Lytechinus pictus: one gene and its partner. Each later gene encodes a partner of the first gene's protein in a complex. Links are inferred from orthologs where the notes say so. Each region holds a gene or a part of one and is shown on either strand. Other genes may lie near its edges.

Region 1 (7,290 bases):
CTTGTCCGATTTCTTTCAAACTTTCACCATTTAGTTTAATTTATTTTTCTCCTTCCCAACACACCATTTTACGGCCAAGGCTGGATTCCCCTTTAAGCGAAACTTTAAAATGTCATAACTTTCTTATTTTACATCCGATTTTTATGAAATTGTCAGTGTTATGCTTGTTGGATTTTTCTCTTTTTATTCAAATCAACTTTTTGTTGGGGTGGACTTGTCCTTTAATTGCAAACTTTCTCATCACTCCATTAGTTGTTTGTTTGTTGATTTGCTTCTCTGATGTAATTGTAACTCAAATGTGTATACACATGCTAAAAGAGGAATGCTGGGCTGTTTAACTATCACTGTATGATGGTGGTACCCAAGTCTGCGAACCTAACAATTTGAGTTAAGATTTACCATAATTATTTTTTATTACACAAAATCTTTCAGATGTTTCTTATATTATTATGAGTAAGTGTACAAAATATCTCATAAAAATTTGGAAGAAATCTTGGATTTTCTTGGAAAAGACCTTGGGCACTCATTTTCAGATTGAAAAAGAAAATGGTACCCATATCTGCGCACCAATTCACTTTGCACACAATATGAGGATTTTGATGGGAAAGGCTGCATTTCAAGGCCGTCACATGGAATGCCCCAAATTCATTATTTTTCCACCATTTTGAGTTGGATTCTTTAATGAATATCTTTCTATGTATTGCATGTGTAAAGTTTGTGTTCGTTGCGTATCTTCTTTTACTAGAATCGCGCAGATACGCGTGTGCGCAGACTTGGGGGAACTTGCCATACATGTATGATGGTGGGCCCCAAGTCTGCGCACCTAACAATTTGAGTTAAGATTTAACATGAATTTCTTCTTATTTCACAAAATCTTTCAATTAATAATGTTCCTTACATTATTAAGAGTAAATGTACCAAATTTCTCATTAAAAAATGAAAGAAAATATAGGATTTTCTTGAAAAAACCTTGGGCAGTCATTTTCAGATTGAAAAAAAATGATACCCCATGTCTGCGCACGCATTCACTTTGCACACGATTCGGGGATTTTGATGAGAAAGGCTGCATTTTGAGGCCGTCACATGAAATGCCCTAAATTCATAAAGTTCGTGCTCGTTGCGTATCTTTTATTAGAATCGCGCAGATACGAATGCTTGTCAAGGGTTTTGTTTTTAAGACTTCTCCTTCCTCTTCTCTTTTTCCCTTCTTCTCCTTCCCCCTCTTATTCTCCTTCCTCTTCTTTCTTCTTCTCCTTCTTTTTCATCTTCTTCTTTCTCTTCTTGTTTCCTCTTCTACTTTTTCTTCCCTTCTTCTTTTATTCTTCTTCCTCCTATCTTTATTCTTCTTCTCCTTTCTCTTCTTCTTTTATCCTCTTCTTCTCCTTCCCCCTCTTATTCTCCTTCTTCCTCTTCTTCTTTTTCTCTTCTTCTTTCTCATCTTGTTTCCCCTTCTACTTTTTCTTCCCTTCTTCTTTTATTCTTCTTCCTCCTATCTTTATTCTTCTTCTTCTCCTTTCTCTTCTTCTTTTATCCTCTTCTTCTCCTTCCCCCTCTTATTCTCCTTCTTCCCTTGTTCTTTTTTCTTCTTCTTTCTCCTCTTGTTACTATCTTTTTTCTAATTCTTCTTCTGCCCTTCTTCCTCTTCTCCTTTCTCTTCTTTTTTCCTCTCTTTCTCCTTTTTTCTTCTTTGTGTCCTTCTTCATCTTCTTCTTCTCTTCCTTATTTCTCTTCTTCTTCCTTTTCTTCTCCCCCTCCTGCTTTCTCTTTAATTTCTTTTTTTTTCTTCTTCTTGCTTGTCACACTTTTCCTCTCTTTTGAACCTGGAAATTTTTGCGCTTTGACGTAATTTGCGACAGCTGGCAAATGGACTGAGACAGGTTCGAGGTAGATTTGTGTTTACCATCTACAAATCGGTGGACCAGGGCAGGCCCAGGGCCGGGCCTGGCCGTGACTAGACCTACCTCTCAAGGTGGCCCGAGGTTGTTAGGGATGTTTACATCTAATTAATTTCTTTCCTACCCGAGGGCGAGACAGGCCCCGGGCCGGGGCCACCAATTTTCTAGATATCGTCTTAAGTCAGACTAACCCAGAGAGCTCCCGCCCGCGTAGCGGGCGGGAGCCCAGAAGCTTACCGTGTATTTTACCATTGTCACCGGACTAGGGTGATTTATGGTCTAAATATTTCTCCAAATGAATTGTGAAAACGGAAAGTATACAATTACCACGATTATATGGATGAAGGTCTAACGAGTGGCAGATTCCTGACATCTGGGCACAGTCTGGAACCTCAAAAAAACGAAAAGTTCTCTCCTTCTACCCAGTCTCGATCGGCCATTTTGTTACGATTTTTAACAAAAATGGCCGATCGAGACGGGGTAGAAGGAGAGAACTTTTCGTTTTTTTGAGGTTCCAGACTGTGCCCAGATGTCAGGAATCTGCCACTCGTTAGACCTTCATCCATATAATCATGGTAATTGTATACTTTCTGTTTTCACAATTCATTTGGAGAAATATTTAGACCATAAATCACCCTAGTCCGGTGACAATGGTAAAATACACGGTAAGCTTCTGGGCTCCTGCCCGCTGTGCGGGCGGGAGCTCTCTGGGTTAAAGTCAGACAAGCAAGGGCAAACGAATTGCGCCTTGGCTTTATTTATAATTTAATTTATTTTTAAGTATCCGAACATCCTGAACATCGGAACCTCATATCCATTAAAACTAAGTAAACATTTCATTGTCCACTCACCCATGCACTGAAATCATTAACGTAAAGTCGTAGGGGCGCCCGATTTCCCGGCCAGTCCAAAGCCAGGCCCAAGCCAAAGGCCAAAGCAAAGTCAAGACAAAGTTGCTGTTAAAAAAATAGAAGAAAACTTACAAATTCAATGAGCGAAAAGTAAGGCCAAGTGTAAGATCAGCACAAACTAATTACGGTACCGTACCGGTACTGTTAGAGATGGTTTCATGAAGACTTGCGCCTTGGTGGTTTCAGGTCAGAGTCAGAGTACTTTGATTGAATAGAACAGTTGAGATGCTAGTGGAGATCGAGACTAGAGAGAAGTGTCTTGGTTGTGGCACTTGCGCATGCAGTCACGGACACGGTGCACGGTGCGGGCTAGCTGCCAGCCTGCGTCCCCGGCCGGCCCGGCGTGTGCCGGAGAAAAACCCCCCTTACCTGGCGCTGGCGCGGTGGATAGTTGGAGAAAAATTCGAGGTAGCGCGCGAGATCGAGAGAAGCTCGAGTATGGAAAGCCGATTACAACGGGAATTTATTGTCATACAAAACGTGTGTTATTTTCCATAGACAGCACCCCCTGGAAATCTGATAGGTATGATAAATGACAGAAATTTAATAAAAATGAACGTTTTGTATGAACACTCCCCCTTCAGAATTTCCCTATACAGTGCTTGAAATAGTGCTTAAATTAACCCTTTTTCAGATCAGAATATCAAATATTTTCAGCTCGTGCTTCGCGCTCGCATTATATTAGTTTTCATTATGAAAAAAATGTACTTTCTAGAATGCCCAGATTACAGTCGGGTAGATATGATCAAAATTATTGCAAAACCGTCAAGTTGGGTATGGTCATAGAGATATATCTCTATGGGTACGGTATATATACAATTTTTTGCTGAAAGTTGTAGTGTATGGTGTCTAATTCAAGAATCCGACGGGTGCCACTTGGGCATTTTTTTTTAAATTGACGTCATATAGCTAGGCCTCGCCCAATTTTTGTCTCACCTGCATGCACCGGGCACCTGCATAGCAGAGTGAGACTATAGGCGCCGCTTTAGGCGGCGGCGTCAACACCAAATCTTAATCTATAATTTTTAGTTTTTGAAATGACAGCATAACTTAGAAAGTATATGGACCTAGTTCATGAAACTTGGCCATAAGGTTAATCAAGTATTACTGAACATTTTGCCTGAGTTTCAGGTCACATGACTAAGGTCAAAGGTAATTTAGGGTCAATGAACTTAGACCATGTTGGGGGAATCAACATCAAAATCTTAAACTAAGGTTAAGTTTTTGAAATGTCATCATAATCTTAACCTAAGGTTAATTTTTTTAAACGTCATGATAACTTAGAAAATATATGGACCTATAGTTCATGAAACTTGGACATAAGTTAATCAAGTATTACTGAACATCGATCCTGATCATTGAGTGTCACGTCACATGACCAAGGTCAAAGGTCATTAAGGGTCAATGAACTTTGGCCAAATTGGGGGTAGGCCTATATATAGGCCTATCTGTTGAATTTCCATCCGTAACTTTGAAAGTTTATGGATCTGATTCATGAAACTTGGACATAATAGTATATAATCAAGTATCACTGAACATCCATGTGCAAGTTTCAGGTCACATGATTAAGGTCAAAGGTCATTTAGGGTCAATGAACTTTGGCCATAATGGGGGAATTTGTTGAATTACCATCATAACTTTGAAAGTTTATTGGTCTAGTTCATAAAACTTGGACATAAGAGTAATCAAGTATCACTGAACATCCTGTGCGAATTTCAGGTCACATGACCAACGTCAAAGGTCAATGAATTTTGGCTAGTATCTGTTGAATTACCATCATAATAAAGTTTATATGGATCTGATTCATGAAACTTGGCCATGAGAGTAATCAGGTATCTTTGAACATCCCGTCCGAGTTTCAGGTCACATGACCAAGGTCAAAGGTCATTTAAGGTCAATGAACTTTGGCCATGTTGGACGTATTTGTTGAATTCTCTGTAAGTGTAGGCCTGTTGGTCTAGTTCAAAACGTGGATATAAGAGTATAACCATGTATCACTGAACATCTTGTGCGAGTTTCAGGTCACATGACCGCAAAGTCAAAGGTCATTTAAGGTCATTGAACTTTGGCTATTTTAGAGGTAACTTACTATATTTGCTGTCATATAATGTATAAAATGTGGATATAGGGGTAATCAAGTGCACTGACAAGTTTTAGGTCACATGATCAAGTTCAAATGTCAATGATCGTATATAGTATTGTATCATTATATATGAATGGTGTTTTTTGTGAATAATTATATTAGTTTTCAAAGTCAGCACTGCTACTATATCGCGTGATGCAGGTGAGACAGCAGATAGTCATTCCACTTGATTGTTTACCTCTTAAATATGACTTTCATATTTTACGACATAAACATGTCATGTTTTTATTAATAAATCATCAACATACAAACTATGCATCGCATAAACAACTTAATTGACTAATATTTACAAATTAAGATTATGAAGTGATCAGGAGAACAAAGAAAAAAATCATCGGCGACTTGTTTATCTAACTTTGTTAGTGGATACATTTTCAAGGCACATGAAAGAAAGAAAGAAAATGAATACCGGTAATTGACATGAGAACGCAGAGCAGCACACCTATGCGCGGCCCGCGCGCGCGCCTGATCGACGTTGCATAACAATCTCCGAGTATGGGTATAGTATTGTGGTGTATACTCGACAGCTAAACATTAAACATGGCATCTAGTTTTGTCTCTGGGTTCAGAAGTCTCGAAAAGACTGCGCTCTTCCACTGGAAGTTTCTTTCCAGCTTGTCGTCTGGCAAAAGGTGATTTGCAATTTCGTATTGAAGTTTGATATTGGGCCCCATCATTTGCTTGTTTGCTGGTAGAAAAGTCGGGAGCGGGAGGAAAGAGTAAATACATTTATTTCCACATTTTTGTTCATTGACCATGACGTTAGTTAGCCCATGTACAATTCGAACACATTTATCACAGAAAGATGATATCACCCGCTCACTTGCGTAGATCAGAAATTGCATACCGCGATAATATAATTGGCGTGGCCACCTAACTGAAGGAAGACATGTGTGCTTGATTGAGGCGCTGATGTTGCTGATGTCTTTTGTTGTCTTTTTAAATCATTTATTGGTATATTTATTTGCAAATACATTTTTTTCATCCTCAGTCTTATTTATAAAATCATCCTGATTCCTGTGTCTGTGACTCGTTACAAAAAGTCTTAACTTGATGTTTGTGCAGGTTCCATTCTAGACAGCTGTCAGCCGTCTGTTTCGAGGAGTTTTTTAACATTTTTATTATTTTTTATTTCTCCTCATACACAGATGGCTCGCTATCGTGCAGCCACCATTAGGGGATTAACAATGCAAAATCCCCCCGACGGGGCTCATCGATTTTTGCCTTTATTTCATAAAAATATATAAAAAGAACTGTACCAAAATAAAGTCAAGATTATTATTCCGTTTTGGCCTGAAATGCACCAAACGGGGAAAATAAACTTAAAAGGGGAAAAAACAGTGACTTACTTCGGCTGTCGCGCAACTTCACTTCCCTGTTTTATCCAAACTAAATACATAAACATATGGCCATTGTCATGAGTCCCCTGTACAGATTGAGCTAGAACTTCGGTCTCTGTATTTGGTGAGTGGAGCCAACGGAGTTCAGCGGAACAACCAACATAACAGAGACCGAAGCTTTTGGTCTAGTTCCATTCCAGAAATCAGAAGCTTAATTTCTTACTTTCCATCCTGATTTCACTCCATAAGACCATATCCATCCTTCAGTTAGCCTCAAAATTGGTGATTTAGAGCCAGCATCGAGTTCCTCACACATATAAATCATTCTTTTGGAACCCAGTTCAGATCTAGATATAAATCTTGCATGTAGCCTTTTGTAGGTGTTTACTTATGAAATTATTTATTCATGTTTAGATATTTCCTCGTTTATCCATTCATTCATTCGTTTATTTATCTTGCATTAATTGATCTATTCTTTAGAATTTGTCCTCAGGGTGCAACAAACCTGCTTGCCTGAGGCAACTAGAAATGATGTGTGGGCAAGCATTTCTCAAATTCAATTGCCCGGGTTTAAGAAAATTAATATCAAAATGACGGTAAATTTCAATATCTTTTGGATAAAATAAGAACTATCATATGTCGAACCGGCAACTACAGTGCGTATAAAAAAAAGGGACCATTTTGTAAAGTTTGTCAAAATTTTGTTTCAAATTGTGGGCCAGGGACAGTCTTATACATTCCCGGCTATGTCCCGGGACCCCCAGGGCCAGGAATATAATTGAAAAGTGCATTATACCTCCGCCAAACAAAGTTTGAAGGGGGTATATAGGAATCAGTGTGTGGTCGGTCCATTGCAAATCTTGCGCATCAAACTCATTCAGAAAGTGAATGTAACCCTAATATTTTATGGGACTCTTAAGTGCACAATTACTGGTACTTGTATAGATTATTGTACACGCAACAAGAAAGAAAAAAAATGTAAAGAAACAGCTATTAAAAGA
Region 2 (8,150 bases), on another chromosome or scaffold:
TAATTGACATTTTTTATTTAATAAGATATATATTTCACAAATATCCGTAAAACCCAAAGTAGAGGAATAAAAGCAATATAGCTATATGAAGCTGCTTTCTATTGTTGACCTCGTACCATCTAATATCCAATAACCCCAGGACGATAAAACCTACTTTTTGGCTGAAAAAAACTATAATAATTGGAAAATTTAGGTATAATTACCTTTTAACTCTACAAATAATGGTTTAAAAGTACTAATCATAGGAAAAACAAATTGCCTGCCCCCAAATACATATGAATAGACACCAAAACCAGAGAAAAAGACCACCAAATAAAGAAGTTGTGGCCAAAACTGTGATTTTGGGGGGTTTGGCGGCCATTTTGGATTTTGGCCCGGCACACTTTTTTCTCGGACTCGAGACAAAAAATATTATCATTTCATGTTGAGATACATTACAAGGAATAAAAAAAAACTGTTGTCATATTGAAATTACAAAAAAAGTATTTTTGACCCATGTATAGCCCACTCCTAATGTTAAGAAACAAAAAAAATAATAATGTTCCGCTCCCAACTGTTGAGCACTCTACCCGGCTATCCTCGCGCTGCATTATGATATTTATCAACCGAGGCAAGTATTTTACGATTCATGATATTTATCGGCCGAGTCAAGTATTTTTAAAATTCAAATTGGCAGCTATACACACGTGTGGTATCTAGGTATCAATAACAAAGACATCAAGATGGCGACCAAAACAGACTTGGTAAGTCAACGCTCGTGCTCGTCTTAATTATTTTTCATATTATACACCCAGTTGTTGTGTGTCCGGACAGGTTGTGTGTCCGGACGATCAATTTTAGAAAGTCATTTGGAAAATTTTACAGGTGAAGTTTCATCAATTTTTGGTACAAAATGTTAGGAAATATTATAGAGAACAAAATAGAAGATGATTACAAATTACAACTACATGTATTGAATTCATATTTTTTAGTGTAATCCAAAGACAAAAAAGAAGGGCTTCAAAAATATAGTGTCCGGACACCCGAACCCCCCATCCTACTATTTATTGAAGGAATATATACAAACATATTAAATTTGGGGGGAAAACTTAGTTATCCTTACCAAATAATTTAGCTCTACTTTTACCGTGGGAAAACCTACAGTGTGAATAGACCAATGCGTAAGCGAACCAGGCGTCAGTGGGGAGTAAAAGTCATCTACTCTACTACTAAGACTACGTAGAGACTAGACAGCTGGCAGCCGTCTGTTTCGAGGAGTTTTTTTAACATTTTTTTATTTTTAAAATTTCTCCTCATACACAGACGGCTCGCTATCGTGCAGCCACCATTAGGGGACTTACAATGCAAAATCCCCCCGTCGGGGCTCTTCAATTTTTGTCTTTAATGAATCAAACTTTTGAAAATTAACGCGACCGAAATGCAAATTAATATTCCCTCTAGCCATTAATTGCCAAAAAACGGGGAAAATCAAGTTAAAAGGAACAAAAACAGTGACTTACCTCGGCTGTCGCGCAACTTCACTGCCCTGTTTTATCCGAACTTAATACACATAAACATATGGCCATTGATCCCCTGTACAGATCGCGCTAGAACTTCGGTCTCTGTATTTGGTGAGTGAAGCCAATGGCAATGGAGTTCAGCTGAACAACCAACATAACAGAGACCGAATCTTTTGGTCTACGTAGAGACTAGAGTAGATGACTTTTACTCCCCAGACGCCTCCAGGCTAGGTAGGAGTATCGAGTAGGACTAAGAGTGCTGCCAGGCCAGGCACCGGATCTGCCGCGACCCCGGGGGGGGGGGGGGGGGGGGGGGGGCACTCGACCAAAAAAGTGGTAGGGGTGTGCCGCGGGCGAGACAAAAAACGGGGGCCTTGGAGCGGGCTTATTGTAAAAAGGAGGGTCCTCGGAACGGGCTTTGGAACTACAAATGTTTGTGAAAACGGGGGTCCTTGGAACGGATCGCCAGCGTGTGAGTGCGTATGCATGATGTGCATGATGCAGCTAGCCTGGCAGCCCGGCCGTCAAGTGCCCTCGCGCAGAGGCGATGGTCGGACAGCGCTCTGCGGCCGCTTTTCGATAAGAAGAAAATGCTATGCTTTGGAGCGGCTTTCTTTGTTCTTTTTCTCAATAAGACAAAAATGCTATGCCTTGGAACGGAAATTTGAGTGTAAAAATGGGGGTCCCCTCCGCGGCACATACCCACTATGCATTATATACTGAGTGCCCCCCCCCCCCCCCGGGGCCGCGACAAGCTACAACTTAGCTCTAGGCGCTAGTGTAGTTTCGCACCTCCCCGTTTAATGGTTTTCAAACATGTACAATCTCACCCTAAATAATTCACAACCTAAAATACTTGCATCTGAGCCTCCAAAGTCCAGTAGAAGTTGAATATTTGCCGTTTTGACACTTTTTTTACAAAGTTTTACACCTATTTCGGAATCACTCGGTCGCTTGATCAAGCTCAGCGCTGCACATAAGCAGTCAGTACGCGTACGGTACGTACCACCTAGACCTAGTGTCTAGGGAAGTGCAAGAATTAGAGCGAGTTTTTCTATAAAAAGTAGGCCTAGGCCTATGGTATCTTCAAAAAATGTTTGAAAACCATTATTCGGGGAGGTGCGAAACTACACTAGCGCCTAGCTCTACACTAACCCACTTATCCTACGAGTACGAACAAGGTTATAATAACGCACTAAGTGACTAACCCAGCAATGCATGCCCAGCACGGCCCAGGCAGCTCGGCAGGGAGCTTCGGCCCGCGAAGCGGGTGCTGCAGCGTCAAGACTGTCATCATTCATGGTCAGTGACAGTGAGTTATCATGGCACGCCATGGTTAACTTAACGTGACTTAAGTTCAATAAACTAGGATAGTAAATCCAAATAACGCTATACCGGTACAATAAAGGGCTTACCTAAAATAAGCTTTACATTACAGTCCAGCGACAAAGTTTGTTTACTTACTTATTGATCTTCAAAATCTCTGAATTTATAACTTGACTTGAAATAAGGTTTCGAAATTCGAATTCCCACTCCTAGTTCAACCTGCCTACAACTTTATGCTGCCATCTCCGTCGTCATCTGAAAAGGGGATTTCCCCCAATGTATGACGCATTCCCCCCCCCCCCGCCCCCATGGCCGACCCTTGGTTTTTTAAACGACACATGCTATGATGAAAAATATTGCACTCTGTGTAAAAGTGACAGTATTGGTGATGAATTTCATGCTATCTTTGAATATGCAGCTTCTTAAAGACCACGAGGTCCAATTGATAGTCAAGATATTATTGTAAAAAACAAATACTTTTAAAATCCCAGAAGGAAAAACCAGTAAGACCAGTAAGAATTTTTGCTGGTTTCCAGTAGAATTTTACTGGTGTCCAGTATATTTTTACTGGGCCAGTTGATTTTTAACTGGACCAGTAAAAATAAACTGGAGACCAGTTCCAACAATTGCATTCCAGTTGAAGCAAAGTAGTAATACCAGTTAAATTGTTTTTCATCAAACTGGTGTTACTGGTCCAATAAATGGTTTCCAGTAGATTTTTACTGGTTTCCAGTATATGTTTACTGGACCAGTTGATTTTTAACTGGACCAGTAAAAATAAACTGGACACCAGTTCAAACAATTGCATTCCAGTTGAAGCAAAGAAGTAATACCAGTTAAATTGTTTTTCATCAAACTGGTGTTACTGGTCCGATAAATAATGATTTTATTTCAAGTCAGATCATTTGACGAATTATGGAAAATGAATCTTGAAATTCAGAGAAAGTTATTATCGTTATCGATTGTTACCATCATTCTTATAATTATCATGATTATTATTTTTATGATTATTATGATCATTGTTGTTATCATTCTTATTACTGTTATCATTGTTATTGATATTGTAATTATTATTATTAACATTATCATAATTATCAAGTATTAACATTATCATTGAAATATAATTATTTCCTTTAATTATGATTAAGAGCAAGATATATTCCTCTGATATAGTCAACTGGTCTACAGTAAAATTGTTTGAAATTGAACTGGTCAAGACCAGTAATACCAGTAATTCTGATGATGCTGATCACGTGGTTTACCTCATTTGCATATTTCCTGTTTTTAAAAGAAAAATCAGGATTTAGAATGGAATATCCTTGCAATGGCACTCATTGTTGTTTAAAAACTTTCTGAATAAGTGTGTGAACTAATTCACAATGAAAATGTGTAATTTCATATATCACATTTAAAATAACAGCAGAAAGATTAATTTACTAACCATCTTTTCCATCACATTTCACTGACCATGGTATATAACAAACCAAATGCATGTAACTGGGCGTTGTGGCGTGCGCCTGTAATCCAAGCTATGTGGGGAAGTTACAAATTGATGCAGAGATTCGAGGTTCGATCCCTGGTCACGTCTTTCGGATGGTGACGTTAAAGGTCGGTCCCAGACGTTTATAATCATATCTGATTGATACACGTCTGACAAAACTCAAATACACACACACACATTAAATTGATCCAGTTCGACCAGTTTGAGGACCAGTCAGACCAGTAGAGAAAATACCAGTAAAGACCCGCTTAAATTGGATACCAGTGTGAAGACGTAACCTTCGATCATCCTCACAACATCTTCTCACTGTTCCCTCCACAAATACAAATACATATGGTCAAAGAGCCCTTTCTTTATCTGCCGCTGTACTCTGGAATTCTCTACCTTTAAATATAAGAACTGCACCATCTTTCCCCATCTTTAAATAAATGCTCAAAACTCACTTATTTTCAAAATAGTATTTTATGATGATAAATATATTATGTTGTTAAATATTGTAAGTTTTCATTTCATTAATGATGTAACTTTATGTATTGATTTAATTTGTTCTAATTTGTATTAAGTATTTTAGGATTAAGGTTTAGGTTTATTGTATGATTCAGATAAGATTTAATGTATTATTTATTGAATATATTTTGTAAAGCGCATAGAGAGTCTTTTGACTATTATGCGCTATATAAATTTCAAATATTATTATTATTATTATTAAGACCAGTGAGACCACCAGAAACAAGACCAGTATAAAATTCCAGTAATTCAAGACCACTTTAATTTTTAACTGGACCAGTAAAATTTTAACTGGACCAGTATGACCAGTTAGACCAGTAAACCGATGTTCCAATTTCCAGAGTCACCAGTTAAAATTATACTGGTCTTACTGGTCCAGTGGAACTGGTTTCTCCTTCTGGGATGGAATCGGGGGGGGGGGGGGTCCAATGACGAATGGATACCATGCGCGACCATGGGGTTTCGAAAAGCACCCTAAACAAGTATTTTCCATATTCTGAAAATGCATCACTTTACAAGTATAGGCGTGTGAGTGAAAACCTACCTTACCCTGTAACCCGGGGGGGGGGGCACTTCCATTGACGAGTGGATACCATGTGCGACCACGGGTAACACGTATTTTCCATGTTCTGAAAATGCACCCCTTAACAAGTATTGGCGTCTGAAACCCTACCCTTAACAAGTATTGGAAACAAAACTATACTCTTGGCAAGTATTCCCTGAAATGAACCCCTAAACAAGTATAAAGCGATATTTTATTGGTGTGTCACGGGTCCGTCGGTCGTCGGTTTTACCTAATTTACCCCCGGGGGGCCACTTACATTGACGAGTGGATACCATGCGCGACCAAAAAAAACACGTAAAAATGATGTCTTTTTCAAGATAGGGCACGTTACGTACGTAACGTGATAAGGGTGTCAAAAACACAAAAATAATGAAAAAAGGGTATCTATTTTGCTATGAAAATTACGTGTTTATGGTCAAAATTGCGGGGATGATAAAACGAAATTAAAATGTTTTATAAAGGATGTCCTTTAGTTTTTGCCCCAACACTACGTGTTTAGAGTCCGATTTGCGCGTGATGTAGAAGGTGGGGTCGTACTAAACCAAATGATGTACAGTACATACAAAGTAAAACTGACGTCCGAAGGACCCGTGACAAAACAAAAAAACATTCCTGTACATGTTTAAGGGTTCATTTCAGGAAATATTTGCCAAGAGTATCGTTTTGTTTCCAATACTTGTTAAGGGTAGGGTTTCACACGCCAATACTTATTAAGGGATGCATTTTCAGAATATGGAAATTACGTGTTTAGGGTGCTTTTCGAGACCCATGGTCGCGCATGGTATCCACTCGTCAATGGAAGTGCCCCCCCCCCCCCGGGTAATTTACACAACATTTGTTTTAGTACGGCCCCCACCTTCCTCACCTCACGCAAATCGGGACTCTTAACACGACGTGTAGGGGCAAAAAGGACATCCTTTATGCAGCATTTTAATTTTGTTTTATCATCCCCCAAAATTAGACCCTAAACACGTAGCTTTCCTAGCGAAATAGATACCCTTTTTTCATTATTTTTGTGTTTTGACACCCTTATCACGTTACGTACGTAACGTGCCCTATCTTGAAAAAGACATCCTTTTACGTGTTTTTTTGGTCGCGCACATGGGCGGAAATCCCAGGGGGGACAGGGGGGAAGTGTCCCCCTACCGAAAATAGTAGGGGGGACACAATATCAAATGTCCCCCCTACTATTTTTGGTCTTTTATGATGGAGAAAAATGCATCATTCACATTCGAAATATTACATGTATTTTGGACTAAATGACCTTACGTTTTTGGGTAAAAACCTTTTTTTTTTTGGGGGGGGGGGGGCTTGTCAAATTTTCCAAAGTGACTAAAATAAGATTAGGGGAAGACTTGGAAAATAAAAAGAATCTTTCATGTCACTATATGAAATTTTCGCTCGCGCTTCGCGCTCGCATTGCCTGTCAGGTGATTTTTCAATATGTAGCTTAAATATCAAGTTTGGAAGTCAATATACATTACACATTTCACCTCGGAAATCGAACTTTCATTATTTTGTGTGATTTACAAACTGATTTTTAAAAAGTGCTCTGTAAAAGTGACAGCTTCATGGTCTGAATATTGAAATTTTCTGCTCGCACTGAGCGCTCGCAAATTTCGATTTATTAAGTACCTTTTATTTTTGTGTATTCCATTTAATTTGAAAAAAAATCAAGTCTGATTGTCAAAACGTATCAGATAGCGCTGGCTACTCGCTCGCATTTTAATTGGCGATTTATGTATGTCTCAATTTTGATTTTCATGACAGTTTATCAAAGATATTGGCTCGCAATTTGCGCTCGCATTCATGGTTAAAAAATATTTTGACTGATGCATTCTATTCATAATTACAAAATTGCTTGAAATGTCCAGTTTTCAGGCCATAATATCATCAGATTTCTCACCCTCATTAGGCATTAATAAATAAGATATTAATAATTTAACGATTAAGTTGTCTCTTTTGTTTCATCTCGCGCTTAGCAAGAGGAATAGGAAGATAGTCATCATTTTCATATGACATGTCCCAAGGATGTCCCGGTCCTATGTCAAAACTCAATTAACAATAAAAACTATCAGCTCTTTATTAAGTGCGATCCATATCCACCTCACAATTTTCCTACAAAGTGCTTGAAATATATAGCTGAAATGGACTCTTTTTTAGATTTTTCATGATAAAAGAGGTGTAGAATGCCTAGATTCTAGGTCTAAATCTGAAACACGCGCATGTTTATTCAGATATTCAACTTGTTCTCTATTCAAATCATTATCCAGTTTCAGATCACAATATCAAAAATTGTCTGCTTGCGCTTTGTGCTCGCATTATTAATGTAGAAAGATCCCCTATTAAGCCCCTTTCACAATTGACGTACGATCATTTGCGACCTTTTGGTCGTGCGACAGGCTGCAACAGGCATCAATCGCCAGTCATCTCATAAGATCGCACAGAGGCTTTCACAGTTGCAACAGCTGTCGTACAACAAAACCAACCAGTAAAACCCGTTGCACGAGTAAGTCGCTTATGATCCTATTGTGCTCGTGCGATCACATGCGAGTGTTGCACGGGGGATTGCGAGGGGAACGGTCGCATACAACGGTAGTGCAATGTTGTAAGCCGTTGCGATCGGTCTTGCAACAGTCTTATGGCCCATCATATTATCGCACCCAGTCGCAAGACAGGTCTCTGTACATGTAGGTCGCTAGCACATGTGCAAGTGCTGTACGACCTCCAGTCGAGTAAATGCGACTACTTA

What was found. Proteins that work in one complex are often made in the same cells at the same time.
Region 2: the proteins of non-structural maintenance of chromosomes element 3 homolog (region 1) and non-structural maintenance of chromosomes element 1 homolog are in contact, whole or in part, in a crystal structure (PDB 7DG2), measured with the Xenopus laevis proteins. The link is inferred for Lytechinus pictus from reciprocal best matches to the Homo sapiens genes NSMCE3 and NSMCE1. Residues at the interface, in XP_018121157.1 of Xenopus laevis: Gly57, Glu58, Val60, Gln61, Tyr62, Leu64, Ile65, Lys66, Gln68, Lys69, Val82, Thr100, Gln102, Gln103, Val104, Phe105, Gly106, Phe107, Asn123, Leu125, Gln126, Arg127, Val128, Gly130, Asp131, Gly132, Met133, Arg134, Asp136, Glu137; in NP_001083134.1 of Xenopus laevis: Ile5, Glu7, Gln10, Arg11, Leu13, Gln14, Ala15, Met17, Ser18, His19, Leu30, His33, Leu37, His38, Leu54, His57, Leu58, Pro60, Leu61, Phe62, Met63, Val84, Asn86, Ile88, Thr89, Met91, Ala92, Ser93, Asp94, Gln149.

Annotation. Positions count from the first base shown.
Region 1 is NC_087247.1:43,388,043-43,395,332, forward strand, and holds the start of non-structural maintenance of chromosomes element 3 homolog, read right to left. Parts: upstream 3,252-7,290; 5' UTR 2,879-3,251; intron 2,852-2,878; exon of another isoform or gene 2,747-2,851; intron 1-2,746. Other genes in the region: NADH dehydrogenase [ubiquinone] 1 alpha subcomplex assembly factor 3-like, read left to right, coding at 5,490-5,581. UniProt on the Homo sapiens protein: Component of the SMC5-SMC6 complex, a complex involved in repair of DNA double-strand breaks by homologous recombination. The complex may promote sister chromatid homologous recombination by recruiting the SMC1-SMC3 cohesin complex to double-strand breaks.
Region 2 is NC_087261.1:31,457,183-31,465,332, forward strand, and holds the start of non-structural maintenance of chromosomes element 1 homolog, read right to left. Parts: upstream 3,079-8,150; 5' UTR 2,964-3,078; intron 1-2,963. UniProt on the Homo sapiens protein: RING-type zinc finger-containing E3 ubiquitin ligase that assembles with melanoma antigen protein (MAGE) to catalyze the direct transfer of ubiquitin from E2 ubiquitin-conjugating enzyme to a specific substrate.